Neodiprion lecontei: one gene and its partners. The protein of the gene in region 1 purifies or fractionates together with the protein of each later gene. This does not show direct contact. Links are inferred from orthologs where the notes say so. Each region holds a gene or a part of one and is shown in the gene's direction. Other genes may lie near its edges.

What was found. Proteins that work in one complex are often made in the same cells at the same time.
Region 2: the proteins of ras-related protein Rab-11A (region 1) and exocyst complex component 2 purify together in Drosophila melanogaster (affinity purification with western blotting, with the first as the bait; 3 studies listed by BioGRID). This does not show direct contact. The link is inferred for Neodiprion lecontei from reciprocal best matches to the Drosophila melanogaster genes Rab11 and Sec5.
Region 3: the proteins of ras-related protein Rab-11A (region 1) and unconventional myosin-Va purify together in Drosophila melanogaster (affinity purification with western blotting; 4 studies listed by BioGRID, with this or other methods). This does not show direct contact. The link is inferred for Neodiprion lecontei from reciprocal best matches to the Drosophila melanogaster genes Rab11 and didum.

Annotation. Positions count from the first base shown.
Region 1 is NC_060260.1:921,176-929,215, reverse strand, and holds ras-related protein Rab-11A, read left to right. Parts: upstream 1-2,546; 5' UTR 2,547-2,860; coding exon 2,861-2,900; intron 2,901-4,164; coding exon 4,165-4,360; intron 4,361-4,450; coding exon 4,451-4,725; intron 4,726-4,818; coding exon 4,819-4,955; 3' UTR 4,956-4,975; intron 4,976-5,160; exon of another isoform or gene 5,161-5,163; 3' UTR 5,164-6,210; downstream 6,211-8,040. Other genes in the region: 60S ribosomal protein L15, read right to left, coding at 1-92, 352-462, 561-697, 930-1,110, 1,705-1,824; vacuolar protein sorting-associated protein 72 homolog, read right to left, coding at 6,791-7,022, 7,120-7,356, 7,474-7,708, 7,800-7,982.
Region 2 is NC_060260.1:36,126,634-36,135,980, reverse strand, and holds exocyst complex component 2, read left to right. Parts: upstream 1-2,898; 5' UTR 2,899-3,109; coding exon 3,110-3,218; intron 3,219-3,334; coding exon 3,335-3,635; intron 3,636-3,710; coding exon 3,711-3,906; intron 3,907-4,034; coding exon 4,035-4,536; intron 4,537-4,676; coding exon 4,677-4,981; intron 4,982-5,274; coding exon 5,275-5,459; intron 5,460-5,544; coding exon 5,545-5,659; intron 5,660-5,730; coding exon 5,731-6,006; intron 6,007-6,088; coding exon 6,089-6,415; intron 6,416-6,477; coding exon of another isoform or gene 6,478-6,483; exon of another isoform or gene 6,484-6,496; coding exon 6,497-6,681; intron 6,682-6,811; coding exon 6,812-6,998; 3' UTR 6,999-7,016; exon of another isoform or gene 7,017-7,360; coding exon of another isoform or gene 7,361-7,422; exon of another isoform or gene 7,423-7,537; intron 7,538-7,823; coding exon of another isoform or gene 7,824-8,124; 3' UTR 8,125-8,152; downstream 8,153-9,347. Other genes in the region: uncharacterized protein LOC107225718, read right to left, coding at 1-595, 685-891, 1,756-1,864; uncharacterized protein LOC107225708, read right to left, coding at 7,361-7,422, 7,824-8,124, 8,271-8,355, 8,422-8,747, 8,846-9,235. UniProt on the Drosophila melanogaster protein: Component of the exocyst complex involved in the docking of exocytic vesicles with fusion sites on the plasma membrane.
Region 3 is NC_060261.1:12,491,722-12,498,485, reverse strand, and holds the start of unconventional myosin-Va, read left to right. Parts: upstream 1-3,069; 5' UTR 3,070-3,298; coding exon 3,299-3,325; intron 3,326-6,764. Other genes in the region: DC-STAMP domain-containing protein 2-like, read right to left, coding at 82-241, 409-559, 1,026-1,301, 1,875-1,978.

The DNA of each region.
Region 1 (8,040 bases):
GAACTCCTGCCTACTGAGGTCTTTCCGCGCAGCTCGCGATGCTTTTGTACCGAGTTACAAATCCAGTTTACCTTTGGATCATTGCGGATTGCCTGTGGAGAATAATATGCCGTTAAAAATTAGGAACGCAAAGATATAAATCAAAATATTAACAATGTAATATAAGATAGGCCACCCAGTAATCAGACATCCAAGGAAGCAAAAACATCATCAGTTTCAATGCTAAAATAATGATATCATCATGTCACTGGGGGCAATCATGATATTTTTTTTTTTTGTAGCAAAAAGAAAAAATATCTCTTTTTTGTCTATATCTGAAAACTCTACAATTACCACAATACAAATTTTTACCTTGTGTGCAGGGTCAACGAGAATGATTTCATAGTATTTGTAGGACGAATCTTGAGCTACCCAGTAGCTGTTCAGCACACGCAGTCCACCACAGCGGCGACCAACACGTTCCTGTAAGAAACATGGTGAGTGAGGTCATTATTGCAAGATTGAATTAATTTTTTCTCTCATATTATTGCAGATTTATAAGTTGATATTGTGACTCTTACTTCAGCAATGGACTGCAGTTTACGTGTGGGCTTCAATTGGTTCACCCCGTGACTTTTTGGCTTACCAAAGGTAGCACCTTTGGGTACAGGGCGTTTACGACCTCCACGACGCACACGGATTCTGAAGATGACAAAGCCTGTAAGAATTTGTAAAACGATATTTTACTAATATTCAATATATTTAAAGATTAAACGAGAGTAGATCAAATACCCAGACCAAACAATGTTATTTAAAACTTTTCATCAGACAGTACATATCCCCACGGTTCAGTAAGAGTGGTGCATGTACAGTTCATCACAGAAAATATAAATTTTAAAGACAGAAATATGAATTTTGTTACATTCAAAAATATAAATTTGCGCAAATACCTTGCTTAGCTTTGTAACCCAAGCGGCGGGCTTTGTCGGGACGAGATGGCCTGGGTGCACGATGCATTTTGGTGAGTTGACGATACTGCCAGCATCTAACTCTAAGCAAGAAACGGAGCACATCGCTCTGCTTCTTACGGTACAGCTCTTGCATATACTTGTATGCACCCATCTTGATTCCCTGGTGTAAGAAAAAAACGTTCTCTTGATAACAGTTCAATTGAACATACGAAAATGATGTCAAATAAGCGGATATTTTTCAGAAAAAACAAGGGTAATTTTTCTCAATTCACTCAGGGTCAGAGTGGTGCATGCCCAATCATCATAAAAATATCGGAAACTACAAAGTTGTACTATTTCCGTACCCAGTCGAACGAAACAACCGTGCACGCGTACGACATGCGTTTCACTGTCAACTTTAGACATACTTAATGATTAATTAAATAAAAATAGACTAGCTAGTGATCAGATCAGATCAGCTTTGACGAAGGTAGTAAAAATATTTTATATCAAGCAAAGAGAAACAATTGCTGTTCGCTGCTTGGTACAGAATATATTTGCCGCTAGCTTTGTACGATTAATTGATACACTTGTGCGCTGGATAACCTAAAAGCACAAACGGAGTAAGACTTTTTGGTATTGCCTTGAGAATTGCAAACTATTACCGAGAGATTGAGGGTAAACGTATAATGGTGCAAAATCGAACGATAGAAGTTCACTGGAAGCTGTGATGTCCTGGATAAATTACGATTATTCAACAATATGTCCGACTCACCCCTTGCAATCCGAAACAGAAAAGGAAAGGACTTGAACTCCATCGTGTAGCGAGGTGCGGACGTTGGACGAGACGGCGCCACTTATCGCCGGCGTACTTTGCGCGCGTTCCAAAAACCATCCAAAATAGCCAGGAATATTTCAATTCTCTAGTCAATTAAGCGGTGTATAAATAATTATATTTGACGCGTTATTTAAATTGACATTTAATGAAGATTTTATCAAAGCTTTATATAATCCAAAAGCTCGTTAAATCTACTTTGTACATTATATATTATACGCAGAATAAATTCGTCGATGCAGCTGTGGGTTGAAAATGAAATCACGGTCGGGGGAAAAACGGGAATTCGGGTTTTGAAATCGTACGGACAAAGGAAATCATTTTCAATCTTTTGCCCAAACAGCAAATTGATGGTTCGTTTTAACGGAGCTATAGAATTCTATCGTACAACATTTTATACAGACACGCCTTGGGTTGGAATGTCTCGATAGTTATCAATCCGGAACAGAGCATTTATTATCTGAAGTGTCATCGCTGGACATGTGCCGCGTGATTATTGGACACTGATTACCAAGTATAATAATTCGAAAAAAAAAGTCTATTTGATAGCTAAATTACAGGGAACTTTATGGCGTTTCAATTCCGTTCTCGGATTTCTCTGAATTCAGTTGAGACTGCGGAATAATGTCGATGTAAGCGAGTTGTACAAAAGCAAAAAGCATGCAATATATGCGCGATCTGTCATTTTGACGTTGCTCATCATCGTGTCATCGCAATAACGCAGCGCATGCGTGTTACGGAGTTGTTTCGAGGTCCCGCGCAAGCGCGGGATATCGGTTTGGAGGGGCGTAGAAAGGAGGCCATATTGTACAGTTAAATTGAAAGGGAGAAAATAATTAATTGTATTATTTTAGACTGGGAACCGTCCAGTCACAGTAATTTTTCAAGTAAACACCCGTGCAGCCTGTCTAAATAATATACCGATCGGTAATCGGTGGTCATCGATAAATCGCTCCTAAAACGACGAGGCTTTTGTAAAATAAATACAGACAGCGACGTCGGAATATTTCTTGCGTATCCGTGATCGGAGGTAGAGGAACAAACGTCGTCGTCGTCCGCAACGAAACCAAGGGAGGAGTTCGTTGCTACCGCGGAGATGGGGACTCGAGACGACGAGTACGATTATTTATTCAAAGGTAATTGTACCCGTTTGAATAATCATAAACTCATAATCGCAACTCGATAATCAAGCGACGGAGCCATAACGCGACTATCCTCTGTCGGTTTGCCAACCTCCGACGAACGCGGCTCGGAACTCCATAGGACTCTTCTCATATAGTCATGTTTCACGCGTTGTTGTATTGTTGCTTGATTTAAGTGACATTGGCACATACGTACGTCACTTGCGTTCTTTCCGTCACGAGGAAACTAACCGTTATCGCTTTTCCGACCGCGAACAGATTATTGTTTGCAGGAACCGCGTTAACGGAATATGTTTGCCACCTTATGAAATTATTTATAGTTTACGCTATTCAAAACGCGGAGATACTCTGCGATCTTTCGACAATATCATTGATGGCATTTATTTGTTCCATTCGCACGAAATATCGAACGTTCCCGAATTACTTTGATTATAAGTTCCCGTTTTGCGTACAACGTACAATAAATAATCATGACGTCAGCAAATATCATTTCTTTTTTACTATTCTTTGTAGTCCTCATTTACGTATAACTCGTAATCAAGTAATGTGACTGTGTCACAACATGACTGAGCCTCCCTCTAGTCTGACTAATGCTTGTGCTCGGCTCTATATGAGTTGCTTTGTTAACAATGACCTTTGTCAAACTTTAGAAAATTATTTTTATGATAATTTTTTCACAGAGATGAAAGTTCAGTTTGAAAAATTTTCTGCACATTTATTTTCCAACACGCTGGTACTGAGAATTTTTGTGACGGAACAGGTTATTGTGCATCTTTTTATCTTTGTTTTGTCCATGTCCAACAGTAGTACTATCGCTATCACACTTGATTTGTTCGTCTGCTCGTAACATGTTTACAGGCTTGTCCTGCCTCCTGCTATACAACGAGCGCGACCTGACACCGAAATAATTTTAATAAATGAGTAAAGAATTCTCGTCGTCGACAATCGCCTACTTACATATATTCGATGTAGAACCCATTGAATCTGTTACCGCACATGCACATATCAACTTTAATTTGCATATATTACTCTATTCATGGCACCGTTTGATTGCAACTGAAATCAATTCTTCTTAGATTCTAGAGTCTAAGAGCACATCTGTAATTGATCGAGATCTCAAGAACTTGAGGTCAATTAATTTCCTTTCATAAGTCAGTACCGAAGAATTAGAACAATTCTGATAGGTAACAGAATGCCATTCGAGTACACGGGGGAAATTAATCAAGGTAATTCCAGTGACAATTGTGTTTGATTACAGTTGTCCTAATCGGAGACTCAGGAGTAGGAAAGAGTAACTTGCTCTCACGCTTCACACGTAATGAGTTCAACCTGGAGTCAAAATCGACCATAGGTGTTGAGTTTGCTACGCGCAGTATAGAAGTAGACAGCAAGACTATCAAAGCTCAAATATGGGACACTGCTGGACAAGAACGTTACCGAGCTATTACCTCAGCGTGCGTATATGATTATGGAATATTTGACTATTGTTCCTTGTGATTGGTCTGTTTGTAATTAATTTGTATTACATGTTGGATGTACGACAGGTACTACCGCGGAGCAGTTGGAGCATTATTGGTCTATGACATAGCAAAACATTTGACGTATGAAAATGTGGAGAGATGGTTGCGAGAACTTCGGGATCACGCAGATCAGAACATAGTGATTATGCTGGTGGGCAACAAATCCGACTTGAGGCACTTACGAGCAGTTCCTACCGACGAGGCTAAGGCATTTGCGGAGAAGAATGGCCTCTCTTTTATCGAAACATCCGCTCTGGATTCGACCAATGTTGAACTCGCTTTCCAGAATATCTTAACAGGTAACATGACAAGAATTCAGTTTCAATTTAATACGAAATTTTGAAAACTTATAATCGTCTTACGTTTCCTTATACATTCTTTCAACTCTTCAGAAATCTACAGAATCGTTTCTCAGAAACAAATTAGAGATCCTCCCGAAGGTGACACTATCCGGCCGCAAAACGTAGAGCCAATCGACGTTAAACCGACGATGAATGCTGACGGAATGCGCAAGCAGTGTTGCCAGTGACTCGCCTTACTGCTTTCTATGTGAGTGGCGCTGTGAAATTGATTCTATTATGGTCATTCGTTATTTAATTATTCTTTATCTGATTAATTTCCAACCATTACCTGACACAAACTATTCAAAAGCTTACATTTTACTAATTTAAGGACGTTTTTCTCCTGTTTCCTCTTACTTTCTGGAGCGTTCTGATATCATTCCAATTTTTCAGAAGCGGTTACATGGTGGGCTGGAGGGAGAGAGTGGTGACTGGTGGTAGGTACAGCGGATGCGTGGTAGGACGCGGACTAAGACTATATTTTCGATCTTGTATAGGTGTAGAAGATCTTTTTTTGGTCTGTTGGTTTAAATGGCAGAAAAAGATTCAATTCTCCCGAAAAAGCGACGTACAAGATAAAGAATTCACCGTGGCCGGCACACCATTCTGCCCTCTATTCAAATTTGTCTTATTTACTACTATACATATACATATATATACACATATATATCTACACTATTATACATATATGTATGTATATATATATATATATTACGTTATGATAATTAAATGTTGTATTACCGCTTCTTTGTAATACATATATAATTATTCTTCTCTACGCATAGTGTGATGATCACGAGTACATATACTATAAACAATTTATAAATAATAACACAATTACAATGATAATTGTGCAGAGCAGACGTCGTAATGAAAATACTAAATATCAATAAAGACGAAACGACGAAGATGGGAATGACTCCATGTTGATCACTACTTGCTCTCGCGCGCACGTAGTAGAATTAAAATAAAATGATACGCGCAAGCACTAAACTGTATGCTTTTCGACTTTATTTTTTACAAACAGCTTCGTGTCCAGAAAAACGTGTGAAATATTAATTTAAAAAATGAAAAAACAAAGGTAAAAAAATAATAAACAATTTCACGTAGACATTTAAATTTAATTTAAGATTGCGACCAGGAAGACATTTTGAGCATGTACAGATAAATGATTGATTGGTTTGATACGCGTGTAGACGCGTTGCAGATTGCGAGAACCATCTTTGTCGTAAAATAGAATGACTTGGAACTGAATGAAATAAATCGAAGCAAAGGCAACAGCGAACAACACGTTGTGGAACTTGAAATGTCTAGGCTTCGCGCACTACACGAGAGATTAACAACTCCTAATTACTATACAAAACATGCTTTAGAAGAAATGAAGGAAAAAAATCTTGAGAAAGAAAAAATTAAAAAATTAAACACACTGTTATGAAAACCTTATGATATGCGTAATTTACTAACCTTATTATTAATTACAATTACATACCTAATTTTTTTTTTCTACACATTTAATTTTATTCATATTGAAATAAAGACGTCTCTTTCGTTGTATCAAATAGAAAACGTCTTAGTGCTGATTGTGGTTTCCTGATTAAATCCATGTAGGTAAATGATAAATTTGCATTTTAGCAATAAAGAATATGAAAACAAAAAAACTTTAACTTATTCTACTAGTTAATGTGAAGTGGCAAAGCTTTATTAAAAAAAAAGAAAAAAAAAAAAAACAATAAAAACCATTGAAACTCGTTCCGTTCGTTTAAAAAATAGATATTTTTTAATCCAATCCCAATTCTTAAAATCCCTCGAAGGAAGTCATCTACCCAACAGAGTAGAAGCAATTTCCATATTTTCGAAAGGGAAAGTGGTGTAAATTGCTTCGATTTTTTCGATTTTCATTCTCATTTTCGTATGAAAATACTGAAGCAGGCATTTGATAAAATAATTATCCAGTGTCATGTCAAATGATGTGACAAAAGACTGTTCAATGCTACAAGGAATAGCGATTGACCAGAAGGATCAGCTAAGATGCCTGCGACACTGAAGCGGGTTCCAGACGAATCGTATTTCTGTTATTATTGCGACGATTTTTCTGACGCCATTCAAGCCACCGTACCAATTCAAGGTTTTGAGTAGCATCGTTTGTCTCTGCACGAGATTCCAGCTGTTGATAATACGCCTCTCTTAATATTCTAAACATTTGTATATTTCTGTACGGTAGCTGTGTCACTGGATCCATATACCGTGCAGGAAGTCTAAAATCATTCAGAAAATATAGTGTATTAGTACCTGATTATTTCAAAGTAATCACCTTCAGGAGTAATACATCAATGTCGAAAGGCCGTAACTTACCTTGTAATTGCACAAAGAGATTTTAGTGAGGGGCGAGGAGCAGGTGTACGTTTGAAAGCTTCCGTAAAAAGTCGTTCGTTTTCAAATGTGATGAAAGTTCTTTCGTATTTAGAACCTGTATCTTCATGAATGATTTGACTTTCAGCTTCATTAGGAGCTGAGCTCGATTCTCCCTTCTGTTTAATAGGTGTATCTTTGTTACCGCCGTCAATAGTTTTTTGTTGATCCATTATTTCTCTGAAAAATAATTTTGAAAGTAGTTAGAACTACGGCAGTTATGGACGTTTTTGTTTTTTATTGCGGTCTGCATATTGCAAAAGGCTTTACACAAATAACGACCAATTTAAGTCTCACTGTTTTTCAGACAAGGGAGGTGATAATCCAGGTTCTAGAATATCACTGGTTGTATTAGTGGTATTTTTTTCATCGTCAGCTTCGACGTTAATTTTTTCCTCATCTTTGTCAGCTTGTGTTTCAGACAGCATCAAAACAGGCATAGACAAAGATTGGTAACGTATAATGGGGCCAACATTTGTCTTTCGCACTGTCCTCGTGTTTTTCTTCTCGTTCTCTAACTTTTGGTATTTTTCTGTCAAAACATGTTAAAAGTATGAGTTGAATAACCATCCATCGGCACAGACAATCATGTCTTTTTACTTGCCAGCAGTATTATTCATTACCTAATGATTTTAAATTTACTTCCTCCGTGATGAGGGCTTCCTCCAACAGTTCTTCCTGCGTTGGCTTCCAAACGTCGTACTTTACAGTCTTAACTTTTCTCTTCAGATCCTCATTTCTCTCTTTGAGTCGTCTTTGGGTCGCTGCCGACTTTGCAGCAGTAGAACGACGAATGGATTTTCTCTCTTTAAAACGAAACGGGGATAGTAGTTTGGCATGAGGCTATAAATACTGCTGATCGAA
Region 2 (9,347 bases), about 35 Mb from region 1:
TCGTTTACTGATATTGTTGTTCTGCTTTCTCTGCTATCATTTAGTAAAGTCAATGTTGAATTTTGACACACAAAGTTACTCATAGTACTACTATCACTTTCCACTCCACGATTAGGATCACTCAACTTCTTACTTACTAAAGTCGTTTCACAATTTTCATTATCACTTTTATTGTGGCAGTGTTCATCGTTTCTTCTTACATTAGACAAATCACAGGCGTCAAAAGCATTCATCAAGTTTCTAGAACCACTTTTAATTTGTTGATAAAACGTATTACTACTTCCACTTTCAGCTAAGTTTGTTAATTCGGAATTAAGTAGTTTTTGATTAATGTTAGAACTGTCTTGGCTCCCAATCTGGTCAAAATTTTTCTCTTCACATAAACCCCTCGGCCAAAATAAATGGCTATTCTGTTTGATACACCTTAGGAAGTCATTGCAATCCATTTGGGAAATTGTAACAGAAGGAGGTGGGGGAACACCACTTAATGCTTCATGAATTCTGTTTAGTAGTTCACTGTCTGATTTTGCTACCAAGTCTGCCTGGCATATTTCGCTATCTTCATGTTTTATGTCCAATTGATCGATGTCTGTAACTAACAAAGCTCGATTGTTTACACGATTTAAATAAGAAAAAATACAATTGTTTCGTAATCCGTACAACTATAAGATACTCATATAATACCTGAATTGCTTTTTGGGGCATCTTCGGTATCGCTTCCAAACATATCAGGACTCGGGGCCTCATCAATTACTTCAGAATTTTTATAAGCCTCATTTGACTCTGTGTATACACAATCCATAGCATCTTCACTCATGTAGACCACTTTGGTCTTAACTTCGGAGGTACTGTTAGTCGTCAACAAATCACTAGCGCTTTTATTCGACATTCCTAAAATTCAGTATTGAACACGTATCTAATCTATGAAAAGTGAGTAATGAAAGAATGATTAAAAAAATGTTTATTAGGAAAAGAGATGGATTGAAAATAATTGGTTACTAGTAACAGATTTTTCCTTAAAATGATCATGTTAGTTCAATATCAATATAACACCTAATAAAACCAATGATAAAACCAACAACCATGTATAAATTATATACGAAATAAGTCAAAATGTATTTATTTTGAAATCTAAATTCTATGGACCGATCAGTATTAATTATAAATAATGAGCAGAAATATTGACTCGATGAATTACTTGATAGATTAACTGAAAACATGTAAAACATTAAATGTTACTGTTGCGTGTCTTGGTTTCAATTTTTTTTTTTTATGTTATTTATTATCCTTAAATACAATGTTTTACGATGGCTATAAATATGGTAGAAAGACACTAAATAATTGACTAATATTCCATTTCCTGAAGGTTTTTAAGAATTAAAAATACACCTTATATGTCACGGAGTTACCTATATGCATGTTTTCTGAAATTCTCGAAATGATTTTTTGAAATTGAGATTTCTCTTGACATTTCCAGGTTCTTGAAATTTTTATCTGTTTATATAAATCTTCACATATGTTATTGATCTCTGGTGAAGATAAAGATTAGACCTGTTTTGATTTCTTATTTTTTCACTCAAGGGTAGTTTTGAGGGCATCAGCACAATCGTTATGAGAGAAAGAGTAAAAAACCGAATTTTGTTAAGGACTTACAGTTATGGCCAGTATTTTCATGACTTATGAGAAAAAAAAATCAAAATGAGTGGAACTAAAAATCCCTCAGATTTATGTGATTGGAATAGTACTTGTACTTACCCAACGTCGATGGACTCAACGCAAGGTCATCTTCTAAGATAGAAGTACCATTGCAAGGAGCTGAGTTGTCAATGTCTCCCATTATTTGCTCTAATGCTACAGCGTGCATGTTAAAGTTAGTTGTCAATCATTCGACAATATGACATCTTTTCAAAGACAGTCAGGATATTTATAATATAGAAGCAATTCGATGTTGTCTGTAAATATTTCAATCACTTGATTAGGAAGGATCTAGAAATTGGACTACTCCATAAGTTGTGTTACGTAAAAAAATAACTGCTCATATTTTGCATTCGCTAATATGGACGGGTCAAGAGCATACTTCGCTCAAAAATTTATTAATCGATGTATTGTGTCTATGCCCAGGAACGGTAGAGGACCACAACTCGGCATACTAGGTTTGCACATTTTATTCATATGAATAAAATAAATCCTTTACTAACCTCTATGACGAACGATGATGATAAGGTGGAGTTGATTTAAGAACGGTGAATCATCACCTACCATATTTTATTACCCAGCAGATTGGCTCTGTAAACATTGACACATCAAGGAATACCCTACGATGAAAGCAATTGTACTGAAGGTTACAAGATATGTTTAGTAAAATTGTATGTTATTCTATGAGGTGATATACACGTTAAGGGTTGTTGACTCGCGAGGGGCTGCATGCTTGAAGAAAAAGTGTCATACCGTAATTTAGAGAGATTTTAGATCGCGACACACCGATAATGATTGAAAATAGTTCAACAAACAATTAAAACATCATTTGTCGACAATATGAATACGTCATATTGTTCAGATAGTATGCGAAACTCAAAATCAACATCTCACACCTCTTCCAGTCAAACGACGATACCTTCATAACGTAAAAATATTTCTAAGCGAGACGTGTTATTTTCTTTATGTTCCACTCACACTACGGAGTAAACTCACACACTCACCATCAACCCAGGTGCCAGAGATACCAGATTACGACTTACGACCTCTTACGAGCCGTGGTCAGACTGTCACGATCGTAAGTCAAGTGATGAAAGCCTTGAAAGTTTACTAACTGCTACCTGGTGGAATTTCCTGGAACTTCTCATGCTCCCGTCTGGCTCTCGCTAGATTTCAAACTAAAATCGGTAAAAGAGGATTTCTGATTACATTTGACACCACTTTGACACTGACATGACACTGACATCAACTTGTCTAACCTTTTAACCAACCTAATCTAACCCGAGCTGACATATTCTGGAATCGTGGGGCGGTTTGACAGATAAACCTGATCTTGACCACAAAAATAAGCACAAAATAAGGAATTGATTGGAGACAATTGTCTGATTCATCTGAAATTATTTTCAATGCAGATATGGGACCACCGCCAGTAGTTACAGGGATATCGCCGAAGGAAGGACCACCAGGAACGCGAGTGACGTTGAGGGGCGAGTTTTTAGGAGCAAAAGCGCAGGACCTGATAGGTTAGATTGAACTGTCACTGTTGAAAATATTGGCATTAATTGTAAAAGTCAACTATTGAAAATTGAATCCAGGTATACACATGCTGTACATTTTCCAAAAAATCATCCTATTACAGGTTTGACCATCTGCGGATGCGAGTGTCTTTTGTCAGCTGAATGGAAGTCCCCAAACAAAATCATCGCCCGCTCTGGACCAGGTAAAGGGCGAGGTGATATTATAGTCACAACAAGAAATGGAGGCCAGGGTACTTCGACCGTCCAATTTCGTGGCTATCACGAAACCATTGGACCCATGAAAGAATCTGCTGTATGGGTTGAAGAAGCACCAATGCAGAGCTTGGTATGGGGAAGACGAGCTCTGTCACCTACTAATTATCAGCAAGAGGATCCGTTAGGACTCAGCGTCGAAGGAAATGAGTTAGGAAATGTTCTGCATTCAAGATTACTGCAATAGTAACGAAGCAAGATCTAATCAGAATATATTGTTTTCAGTAAGAAATTTCCTGAGGATGAATTAATTGAGCTATTTGGCGATGGTAGCGGTGAATTGGCCAGTGAGAAGTTTCACCCAGGCTGGTTTTTATTACAACATCATCATGCTACCACCCTAGATGATCTTAAAGCAGGATTAGCTTATCTCAGACGCAAAGTTCACTCACAGAAAGAGGGCCAATTATCTTTTCTCAAGGTGAAACAGGACAATTTCACATCACACAGATACTTTTTGATTCGTTCAACATTCGATCTTCTGATTTACACTTTTGTTTAATTTTCTTCTCCAACAAGTAATTTGTTGATCTTTTTATTTATTTATAGGCGAATGTTGGTTCGGTGATGGAGCAATTAGATACAATTATGCTACTGAAGGAACAGTTTGAGTCAGATGTTCAAAAAAATGGCAAAGATCCAACAGCGAAACTTGAAAAAGCTATCAAAGATTCAATGGCTGAAGCTGACAAACTATTTCATGATGTCTTGGCTCGAAGAGATAAAGCGGATGCGACAAGGAATGCCTTATCTTTGATGCAACGCTACCGATTTTTGTTCTGTATGCCAGTAAACATTGAAAAGAATATAAAGGGAGGGAATTATGAGTTGGTAATCAATGATTATGCCAGAGTGAAGAATCTATTTGGTAATACTGAGTTGGAAGTTTTTAAAAAAGTATTAAACGAAATTGAAGTTAGAATTGGAAAACTTAGAACTGTGCTCCGAAAAAAATTAGAAGAAATGCCGGTCACTTTGGATGAGCAGAAAAAGATCATAAGAAATTTAGTAAACCTCGCAGCTGAAGGTGATCCAGCATGGGATGCGATAGGTATGCACTATTAAATATATGTGAAATTTCAATAGGAAAGTTCATGAACCAGGGCATCACGGGTCAGTCAAGTACATTAGTATTCTATACAGGTTGAAATTCTTTGTGATGTACTGCAATGGTGTATGTTTGTATTTCAGCATCACATGCTCATTATTTAGAAAAAAGTGTGACAGCTTGTATAAACGAGTATTTAGAATCTGAAAACGCTGGTGGTGATGATTCGAGTAAAACCCCAAAGTCAAACGGCTTAACGCCAACCTCGGTCAAACAATTGAGAATGCAACAAAACGAGGAAAATAATGTTCCACCACAGGTTCTATGTGTTGAAGCTATTTGTGATGTAGTCACAGAGCAATTACCAGACTTATGGCGCTTAGGACAGAGTTATTTTACAGGACAATTACACGTAACTGTTGATATAGAAAAACAAATCCCCTTCAAAGTGAGTATTCAAATAATGACTCAGGAAATGCTGTTGACTTTCTAATTTAAACCTTAATACTTGGTATACTTTTTCATTTTAATGCTGAGAAAAAAAATGTTCCATATAAGGTTTTTCATATAGTATGCATGTAATTCGATTTTACACACTGCATCGAAAAGTGCCATTTTATGCACTAATAGTAGTGCTTAAAATCGAATTATTCTACATATACTATGTCAAAAAAGTATCATATGTAACACATGCCTACATTTTACATAATTGTGCCATAATATACTATTTCGATATTTTAGAGCCTGGTTCTATCTAGTATGCAACATGCAGTGGATGCAATGAAAACAGCCTGTGGGACAAACTTGGATGCATCTTGGCTTCTTCATAACTTGAGACGTATCCGACAAACGTATGCGTCTTTAATTCATTTGGATTTACCCAGTGAGGCCTTAGACATATTTGGCAAATACTTATTTGATCTTAGGTAGGTATTCTAATGTATTTGATAGTTTCAAAATGTGAATTAATATGATTTAAAGTGAATAATAAAACATTTGCGTTCAATTCAGGTTACAGTGCTTGGTGGCATTGTTCAAGCAAACCGCAGACAAAATAACTGCCTTACATCGTAAGGAAACATGGAAAATTGAATATCTGAATGAACACGGAGGAGTAACACGACTGGTAATACACTCCGGCACTACATATTTCAAGAGAAATATTCAGTTTATTTATGTTTGACTTACCTTGAATAGCCAGGTCTTTTTGAAGAAATGGTACTGGAAGTGTCAAAACTCGCTCGAGAAACAGTAATAGCTTGTGGACCTCGAGAACTCCCTTTGCTAGCGCATACTAGTCATCAAACTCTGTTTCATAATGCAGTAAAAACACTATTCACTGCTTTTGCAAAATGCTTACAACAGCTGGCTTTCAGTGGAAGTGAAGAAGCTATGGACGATGATGAATCCTCAGTATCACAACTGATTGGTTCTCCAGTTGGCTATAGAACTAGAGACAAGCAACAAGGGCCAGTGAGAATTTACTTTGAATATTTTCATTGCTAGTTACTGTTTTCAATAAACGCTACCAACCGAATTATCACACTTCCTACAGACATGGGAGCAGTGTTTACTAATATCACTGAGTAACATTCGTTATACTCTGAATACAATAATACCACATGTTAATGATGCACTGAAGCAGCATGGTTATCCGCCCTTGTCTTTAACCATGAGTTCGAATACCGATTGGACTCAATTGGATACATTGGATAGTGCCGTATTAGACGCATATTTGGAACGACGCTGTGATCCCCTTGTCGGTACCATAGAACCAAGTATGTACCTAGGTGGTCTAGAATGGCATTTGGACATTGAGCCCTCACACGTGAGGCCTTACGTACAAGAGGCTTTGACTAATCTGATCGCAGTTCATGCAGAGGTATTTACGTTGTTTTCATGTGAAAATATTAAAATTACAGATAATTTGGATTCATTTTATAGTTGTAATTTCATGAAACAGGTACGACGGGTTTCACCAGGTTTATTGAAGAGAGTTTTATCACACATTGTTGAAACAGTTGCTGAAGAATTAGCACGGCTGATGTCTTGTGTAACTCGTTTTAGTCCTTCAGGAGCTGTTCAAGCTAGAGTCGATATTACGTTACTGACAAGTGCTGTCCACTCTTATATTACTCCGAGAGCTGGGTAAATCTTGGTCTTTCTTTTTTGAATCCCAACCGAAGCCCTATTTGTATCAGATTCAAATAAATTTGTGGCACTGATTCGCTTGGGTAGAAATCTGAAGCATAATGAAAATACAACATTTTTCCTACAGGAGCTTTTTCGAAGAAGCATTGGATGCGATTTCTGAACCAGTCTGTAAAGAGGACTCGCAAAAAGTCGACGCTCTATTGCGCAAAGTAGCTTCCTCCATGCGCCTACAACTTGCATGTCTTGCTGACGATTCAGCAGACGGCATTATTCTGAAGGGATCCGATCCAAATCGTGCGACAACAGTTTAACTTCCATTTGGAAATTTGGTAACCACTTTTCCTTCAGTTTATATGATTGACAAATTTTTTTACCAACTTACATGACTCCGCATAATCCCTTCTTATCAAGACAAATAACGTGCTATTAAGTACAAGTGGGATTTACTATTGAGTAAATTGTGCACGATTCACAATATATTTCATGGATTCTTCAAACAGTTTGAAATAGTAGTATAATTATTTATATTTTGTAAAATACAGAGACACAGAACTGTTAGACATACATTTGTTTGCTATGCGACAGCTTCCCATACATAGAAAAACTTGCAGATTATTAGGATGGTGTAAAACTATGTACATACATACAATTTCCACTCACGAAAAATGAATCTTTACGTGGTCTCTTCAACGACTTGCAAGATTCCGGTAGTTCCAGTTAGTAATACTATATCACCTGTAAATAGGAGTGGATAATATAGTTTACAAAAAAAAAAGGAAGCAGTAAAGTTTTGTTTTAGTGTCTATACCTGATATTACGAATAATACTAAGCATCACGATAACTGACTATGATCAGAGTTATAAATACATATTGTAAATACGACTAATATTGCATAGCGAAAATAAGAAAAATAACACAAATAAATATCAGAGAAAACAATTTGGAACATGCTTTTTTCATCACAAACACAAAATTATATTTATGTAGAGCTTGCTTTATTTCACATATTTATATCTGTTTAAATCAGGGATAAAACAAGGGCTATTGCAGGTTTTGTTAAAAATGATAGTTACGAATTGAATAAGTGTACTACTACTCTTTTTGTTTTTGTGTAGATGTTTTGATTCATACATACCTGTACGAAATTTTTGTGTAGCTCCTTCAGCACCAACAATACACGGTAAACCATATTCTCTCGCTACAACAGCTCCATGACTAATGAGACCTCCAAGTTCAGTGACCACACCACCCAATATTGGAAAATAGGGACTCCAACCAATATCGGTGCACTGTGTTATTAATATATCACCAGGTTTCAGTTGTACAGCATCATTTATATTAGTGATAATGCAAGCACGACCTAGGACTGTCCCTCCACCGACTGGTGTTCCTGATACCCGAGCACCTCCCTCACGAATTTTTGTACTGGGCTCTGCCTAAATAGAACAAATATTTTTATAAATATTTAATAGTGTTAAGATTACCATATACGTACAGATTAGACATTACAAAAAAAAATTGGAGGATACCACTTTCTTAATTGTTGTGAACTGATATTATACAGGAAATACTTTTCACTTACCAGTATAGGTTTTAATACACCTCTATTCACTTCCGGGAACTGAATTTTGTCACAGTGAGGATAAAGTCTTTGTCTTCTTATCGCTCTAAAAAACAATTTTTTGTTTTTCAAATTAACCTTATGCTCAGTAATGAATAAGCAAAATACTCACTTTTGCACTAATGTTGGATTTGAACTAATAAATAACAGACCAATTTCCTGATGGGTAAGAAAGAATATCAAATTCATGTCAGGTAGTTGGCCATCCTCGACCATTAGTCTACCAAGTTTTTGGTATCCTAATCTCAAAGCATTGACTGTGGAAACTAAAACAGCTTTTGTCAATTCTCTGCGACTAACGGCACTCCTGTTAAGTGGTATCAGCATCTCCAATATCTTTTTTGTGACTCGACTTTTCGGCGTGCGTAATCGATCTACAGTTTCGGCTACACTTAATTCTTTAAATACTGGTGGCTCTCCTGATGATGCTACGGCTGCCTGTTTTTAGCCAGTGACAGAATAAATAAATATCAAAATATTTTAGTCTTATGTTGAAAGTAATATTTTTTGAGAATCTCGTTGTATTTATGACTTACTTGAAGTGAGGATATTAGTTTCTCAGGCTTCATATCCCATGTTTCAGTCATCAAATCTAATTCTCTTATGCACCTGTATCCGTGTTCTTTCAAAAAATCATCAAACATGACTGCAGCTGCAGTGCAATTCAGCGTTAACCAATCTCTAGCTTCTTTTGGATCTAGCTTAACAAATTCTTCAGCTTTTTCACCATTCCTTATTGTATTAGCAAGGTTACGTAGAGCTGTGGGAACTTGAGCACTCACTACATCACTACAGGAACTTAGGAATATGCCTACATCTGAATAGTGGTTGATATTCAAATTTGGAGCACCTTCTGTCAACACTGACATTGCAACAATTTGACAGAATACACTCACTTTTGATGTATGAGCGTGATATATTGATGCCTACATCAAAGAGAACACAAAGTAGCAGTTTTTTGTAAATATTAGATGATGGAAGCAGCAAGCAGCAAAGTTATGACGTTCACAATTTTTTCTAATTTTTTGGTCAATAATG
Region 3 (6,764 bases), on another chromosome or scaffold:
GGTAAATGGAAATTTATGATTAGTTTTTCTGCCTGATCTGAAATAAGTCGATTTACACAAAGTAACAGTATTGAAACTCACGTATGCTTAGCACGATTCTTTTTACAGCTAATAACGTCCGTTTAATTTTCTTTATGACTTTTTTTAAGGATTTCATGACCTTAGCTATCGCATCTCGTAGAGCATAGAATGGCTCTTTAATCAGATCGACGATAGCTCTTACCGCAGCTTTCAGTTGTTCCTAAAAAAACATACGCAACTGAGAAAAATTCTGTGGAGTCTTTTTTTTTATATTGCATGCATTTCGAAAACAGTACGGGAATTATTCTTTTCTTATCACTATTTTTCCCCGTTCTTCGGTAAAACAAGTTGTGTAAGTAATTTAAAACTATAATTATTATTGATTACTTGTCCGCAAGCCAGCGATTCCGATAATACACCCATGTTGTTTAACGTATTTTTTGCTGGACCAGTTAATGCCAGTATGAAAGCGTAGGCCATAAGGGCTTGGCGTCCACGTTTCGAGAAGAATTGCGGCAGGAGTAGGAACACTACACATCTGTTATAAACGGTGGGTTTCAACGTTAAATTGTAGTTCGAAACGTCAAGAAGCTGAGTTCTATAGCGTGTTCATACTATCCTTTGATCATTTATCAAAGTGATAATGATCTTTACTTTTAATTTTCTAACTGGAAAATATTTGGAACAGCGAAATTCTGTAAAATTTGTATCAAATTACCAAAAGTATTCGAATCATATGACAGTAATCGGAATAAAATCATAGATTATAAAAGATTACAAGAGACTTCGTGGGATTTCAGAGAATTTTTTCAAAGGAAAATCTCCGAAGTTTCAACAGATTTCAAGAGATTTCAGACGATTTTAAAAGTTTTCCAGAGAATTCAGAAGATTTCAGGAAATTTCACATGATTTCCGGAAAAGTTTACACCAGATTTCACGAGTGATTAACCCTGCGGCCAGCATCAAATATCCCAATACCACGAGAAAAAATATAGTTCGAATACCTGACACGGTTGGAAAACGCCAAGCCGATGGTTAGAATAATCCCCAAAAATGAGCTGAACAGCGTTGCGGATGACAGGGTGAAGTTCAATTGGAATATGAAAAACATGAAGAACATGTAGGTGAGGAATATTCCACCAAGAAATCCGAGAACGCTTTTGAGGACGTAATTTTCAAACGTTCCATCCGTTCGCAGTAAAACTGCCTTTTCGTGAAACCAAGAATCCTTTGGACAAGATGCCAAACTTTTCAGCCAATTTTTGAATCTTAATATCAGGCTAGAAATCAGAAAAAAGAAATCACCGATTCCTATCGAAAGTATGCAAATTTGTTTTTGCACAGATTTCGTTAGCTGAATGCTAATGAATTGGATTTGTGCAGGGAAAAAATACATTTCTGAGGCGGGAAGAACATTTTTTTAAATTTGCTATCGTCGCAATAGATCATAGCAGCAGGGTTAAAGTCCAATAAATCGACAAAAAAATGCATTGACCGAGGAAGCATTGGAAAAGCAGCTGGAGATTCCGCCGTTTTTTTTTTAACATTTTTGACGAACCCACGACGAATTGACTTTGAATCAGAGTGGATAATTTCGTAAAACGGCGGTTTCCAATGCAAAGCAACTGGTAACTCTGCTTCCAAAAATCATATACACATATAACAATGAAGAAGAGCTGCTTGATCACAGTAAAGTCCAAGCTGTCCAATGCTCCCTCTTTCTGTTTGGGTTTTTTTCCTACCGATGTCTTGGACTTTAATCTCGAGTGACTCAATTTCTTGGGACGATTGACAAATCGTGACTAATAAAAATAACCAAATATTTACTCGGCATATTAGACTTGATAACATACAGTTTCTTTTTGTAACGAATCTTCTGCCTAAATGTGTAATGGATCTTGGCTCCTTTAGAAACTTCTATAGATCTCATTTTCTCATCCTGATACAGAAGTTTCATTTGCTCAAGCCGCCTAGCTTTCAAAGTCAATTGAAAGAAAGCCATTTTTCAAGTCACACGATTCACTTCCAATACGTATTTATCTATTATACAATTCACTATTGCTCAGACATGATTTTATCCGATTATTACTGCTAGAAAATTAACTGAAGTGAGGTTAATCAATGACATTTAATGAATTATACACCTGTAAATCAGATCCACTCTACTCTATTTCGATAAACAATTGCCATCATATTCTCGGTTATTTTATTCATCATTGCGTGTGTACCTATTTAACATTTATAATATCGAGATGTAGGTATGAAACGTGTAATGAATCGCGTTCAAGTTTGTCAATAAAAAAACAAATTGAATATTGACACGACAGATGTTTTGGTTGCAGCTTAGTGATTATTGTATATTGTATACAAAAGTTGAGTTAATCAAGTTTGTCGGTAAAATTTTCTTTCCTTCATTTTTTGATCGCTCGAAAATTGCTATTATTGGGATATTCGGTTTAGAACAATATGGCGTCGCGTCGAGCGATCAGCTGATAATTTGAGGCTAATTAAACGGAGCGCAGAAAACGTCGTTTAAGTTGTTCGACTCTGATTTTAAGTCGCTAAATCGACATAGAGAAAAACATACGGTGAAAAAACACTTTCAAATACACTAATTACGACACCATCACAATTAGTGTTGCATATTCACTGCCACCAAATGACACCTTAGTTCCGAAGTAACATGATACATAGGTATGTCCAGGATTGTCGAAAATAAAAAAATGTCGAATAAAAATGGGAAAGAACAGAACGAAATGTGTGATGAAAATACGCAACAAAGAAAAGTTTTCGTGCTAATCGTATCTTGTAAGAATACTTCGACAGATTCCTGCATTTTCCTGCACCAATGCAAGTCGATACACCCAACGTCTGTTGTCGCTGGAGTCCATATCGACGCGTTCTGGACCCAATCGACTTCGGCAGAGTCAAAACAGATCGCGACACCTGTCGCTGTAGATAGGTTCATCACCTGTGTGAAACCAGGCTACTGTGGGGGGGGGTAAGGAAAGGAGAGGAATGGAGGAAGTGGGGAGAGCATGAGGCGTACAATGCCAACCGATAGTAAGCCACAAGCCCAGCTGTGAGTCGCAAGCCATCCGAAGGCTGATAGTGAGTCGCGATAGAATCGGTGTCGATTTTGTACGTGTTAAAGAACTCGGAACGAAACCTTCGCGCTCCAAAATGTTGTGACGCTCTTTACGCGGAGGATACACAAGGGATTAATGGAATTTAGTGAGAATCAGCAACGGAAATTGGACTCTTATCCATCGCCACCATGACGACAAGGGAATTATACGTTAAGGTAAACGGTGGATCGAATTCGCGGATGCAAAATTAATCGATCAATTCATATATTTCTTAGGTTTCTCGTTGTTCGCTTGTTTCTCATCGCATTCGCACACGCCCGTACACTTTCATCCTCGACTTTTGAACACGGTTTTCGGAATATGAGAAAAACAAATTCGTCTTGTCGACACGATCGACTGACGCGTTTAACTCTCGCAGTCTCCGTGGAACAACAGAAATAAAACCGGAACCGGTCGAAAGACAGAAAATTCGAATTTGCACACACAGCTGGCCGGCCGAATTATACTCCCGCATATTATGACGAGATGTTTACCTAGGTGCAATTCGCGAGGAAAGCTGCGATATCGATTTGCTCCGAAATTATTTTCTCTACACGCTTATTGTTGTTATCGTTTATAATTCTGAGTTAGGCTCAATTGGGCGATCCATATTTCCGCTCATCGTCCACCGATTGGAAAATAATATATCGCTCGCAATTAGTCATTGTATTGATATGTTCTGACCAATGCCTTGATTACGCAGCTGGTCGATTCAATTGCAGCTTGAGAATATTTGAAATCTATTTCATACTATATTTTAACAAGGATCTGATTCATTCTTGCATTTTTGTGGTGTTCAATTATTTTCCATTGTCCAGGATCCGAAATACGGTGTAAATTTTTTCAAGAAATTGGAATTGGAATTTGTACTAAAAATATCTACGGAATCAATCTACAATACCCATTGATGATGTTAAAGTATTATAACGAATTTTGACAAAAATGTCAAGGTAGGTTTTTGAAGAAGCTTGCTTTTTATAAAACTACAGAGTGTTTGGAAAAGTGATCAATTTTTAATACAAAAATGCATAATTGTGAAATGAAATTCAGCAGTTTTAATAGGTAGTAAATAAATATTTGAAAAGGAGAGGACAAAAGATATGGCTAACATTTATTTCATTACATTTTTCTCCTGCTTCTTTTTACAATAAATTTATTTCTATACTTCGAAAAACATAACTGTAACCTTATAGATAGTTTTCATTAAATCTCGTTTTCTTCCACCAACTATTTCCACGAAATTAAAGAGGAAAGTGTGACCCAGATGAGTTATTGACGTTTTTGACGCGAGAGCTTTTTCGTCCATTCAGAGCTTTGGTATTCTGGAATCTAGGATGAAGAATAAATAAACCAGTCTTACACCGATGTCGAACATGGTTATTTTAACCGTCTTCAAATTTGATGTAAAACATTATCATTTAAATTTCGCAAACGCGTATTCTGCGAAACGCATTCAATGTCAGGTTAACAATAATTGTATCGACTTAATTGGGACATCCAAACTTATTTAGCTGTGTTTGAAAATTTCCGACGATTTGAAGCAATCCCCTGGTGAAAATGTTTTTTCAACAATCTTTGTCAACAATTGGTAAATGATTCGATAAACTCACAAAACTTTCATCACTTCGAAATAAATTTCAAACGATCCTAAAAATTAAAAGAATATTTCTTTGCGGTATTATCAGAAATTTAATTCAGAAGATTTTCATATATGTATAAATTGTAAATAATTTTATTTTAAAGACGCATAAAATATTCGTAAATTATTTAAAATTCTGAAGTGAGCACAGTTGATTCTGCAAATTTTCCATAAAAATAATGTCCATCATCGCACGTGACGAATTATAATCAGTGTTATATTTTTTTATGAAAAAAAAAAAAAAACCAAAACATTTTCTCTTTCAAATCTTATTTTGAAAGGCTGAAAATGTATGAAAACGTTCGGAAAGGTATCTGATTATTACTGTGCACACGAAGTGTTCGAATCCTGGTAATTTTTTGGAATACACTTAAGAATAATAAACCAAACTGAGAGAATTCCGTTCTTTTTTTTTGTTCTTTTTTTTTTCTAATCTGTAGGAAATAATCAGACGAATATTTTGAATCTCGAATATATATCGTAAAGAAAAAACGTGCGGATCATGAAATCCGTATTCGTAGATAGACGCATAGAAAACTTGACCTCGATCTGTTCCTCCGCGAATTTTCAACGGGGGTCGCGCCCGCACCGGCGACTCGGGGATGGATTCACGGGACTATCGATTCCTGCTTGAACAACTGAGCGAGCCTATTTTCCGACGATCCCAGACGAATCCTAGGTTTGTTCTTTCGTCGGCATGCTCTAACACGCGCACAATTAAAAAAATTAAGGGACTACGTACAGTAATATTCGTCGATGCCTCAACTTTCCGGCTAACTTGTTTTCGGTCCGAAAAAAAATGCGAGTTCGTTTCTATACGAATTATGTGACAATGACTGGCGATGCCGCCGACGCGAGTGATTGGGAGTCATTGTCACGTAAGTCGTGTAGAATCGAAATCGCAGTTTTGTTTCGGACCGAAAACAAGTTAGCCGGGAGGTTAAGGCATTGACGAATGTTACTGTTGGCTCACTATTTATTTGGAATGAAAATTTAAACGAGTTTTCTTTCTATATAAGTTTTAAGTTTTGCCTCATCGGTCATTGGCACGTAAATTTGTCTAGAAAGTAAAACTTGTTCAATTTTTTTTTTACCAAAAAAAAAAAAAAAATAGTGAGCCGCGCGTAACCAATCGTTGAACATTACTACACCTAGAACAATTTAAAGCAGAGTCAATTTTGACAATTTTTTATTCGATGGTGATTATTTTGTGCGTAAAAAGTTATTAGGCACAAACTATGTTATACAGTTTGTCTATTCAGTTTAGTCGAACCCTACGTTACAGAATGCGAAATTTTTTCAAAATCTTTCTATAAAATCTCTGAAGTATTTGTATATTAGGTTGTCAGCTTCGTCGATTGATTTTCAAGAAGTTTCTAGTCAGACATTTTTACCAAGTCTTTATAATAAGCCCGTTAAGTTTTGATGAAGAAATTTTTTTTTTCTAAAATTGCGAAAAATTGCCAATGATTTTCTTAATTTGAATAAAACATTTACCGAATAATTAAATATTAAGGAAAAAGTGGAAGCATAAAATTATTTCAACGTAAATAAAGACGAGCAATTGCGAATTGAATTCAATCGACGTCATTGTTCAAATATCATGTTCAATACTGTCTGTTTATTATTTTGATAATTGTAAAGGCCTGAACGTCATCAGGCTGTATAGACCGATAATAACAAAACGTGTCGGCAATTAGATAATCACCGAACAATTCTTTTTTATCTTATCAAAACACGATACTTTCGACTCTGTCTATAACTCCCCTTATTGTACGCCTTTGAACATATGACACCACATGAATGTATGTATCATATATAGTATGAATGCACATATACATATAAATTTCGTACAGTGTACGTTGAAAATCAAAAATTCCATAATTTGTGCAAAAAGTTTCCGCGAAAAACTGGAATTAGAAATATCACTGAAATTTTGTGATTCATTAGAAAAATTCCGAATTTCGAATTTTTTA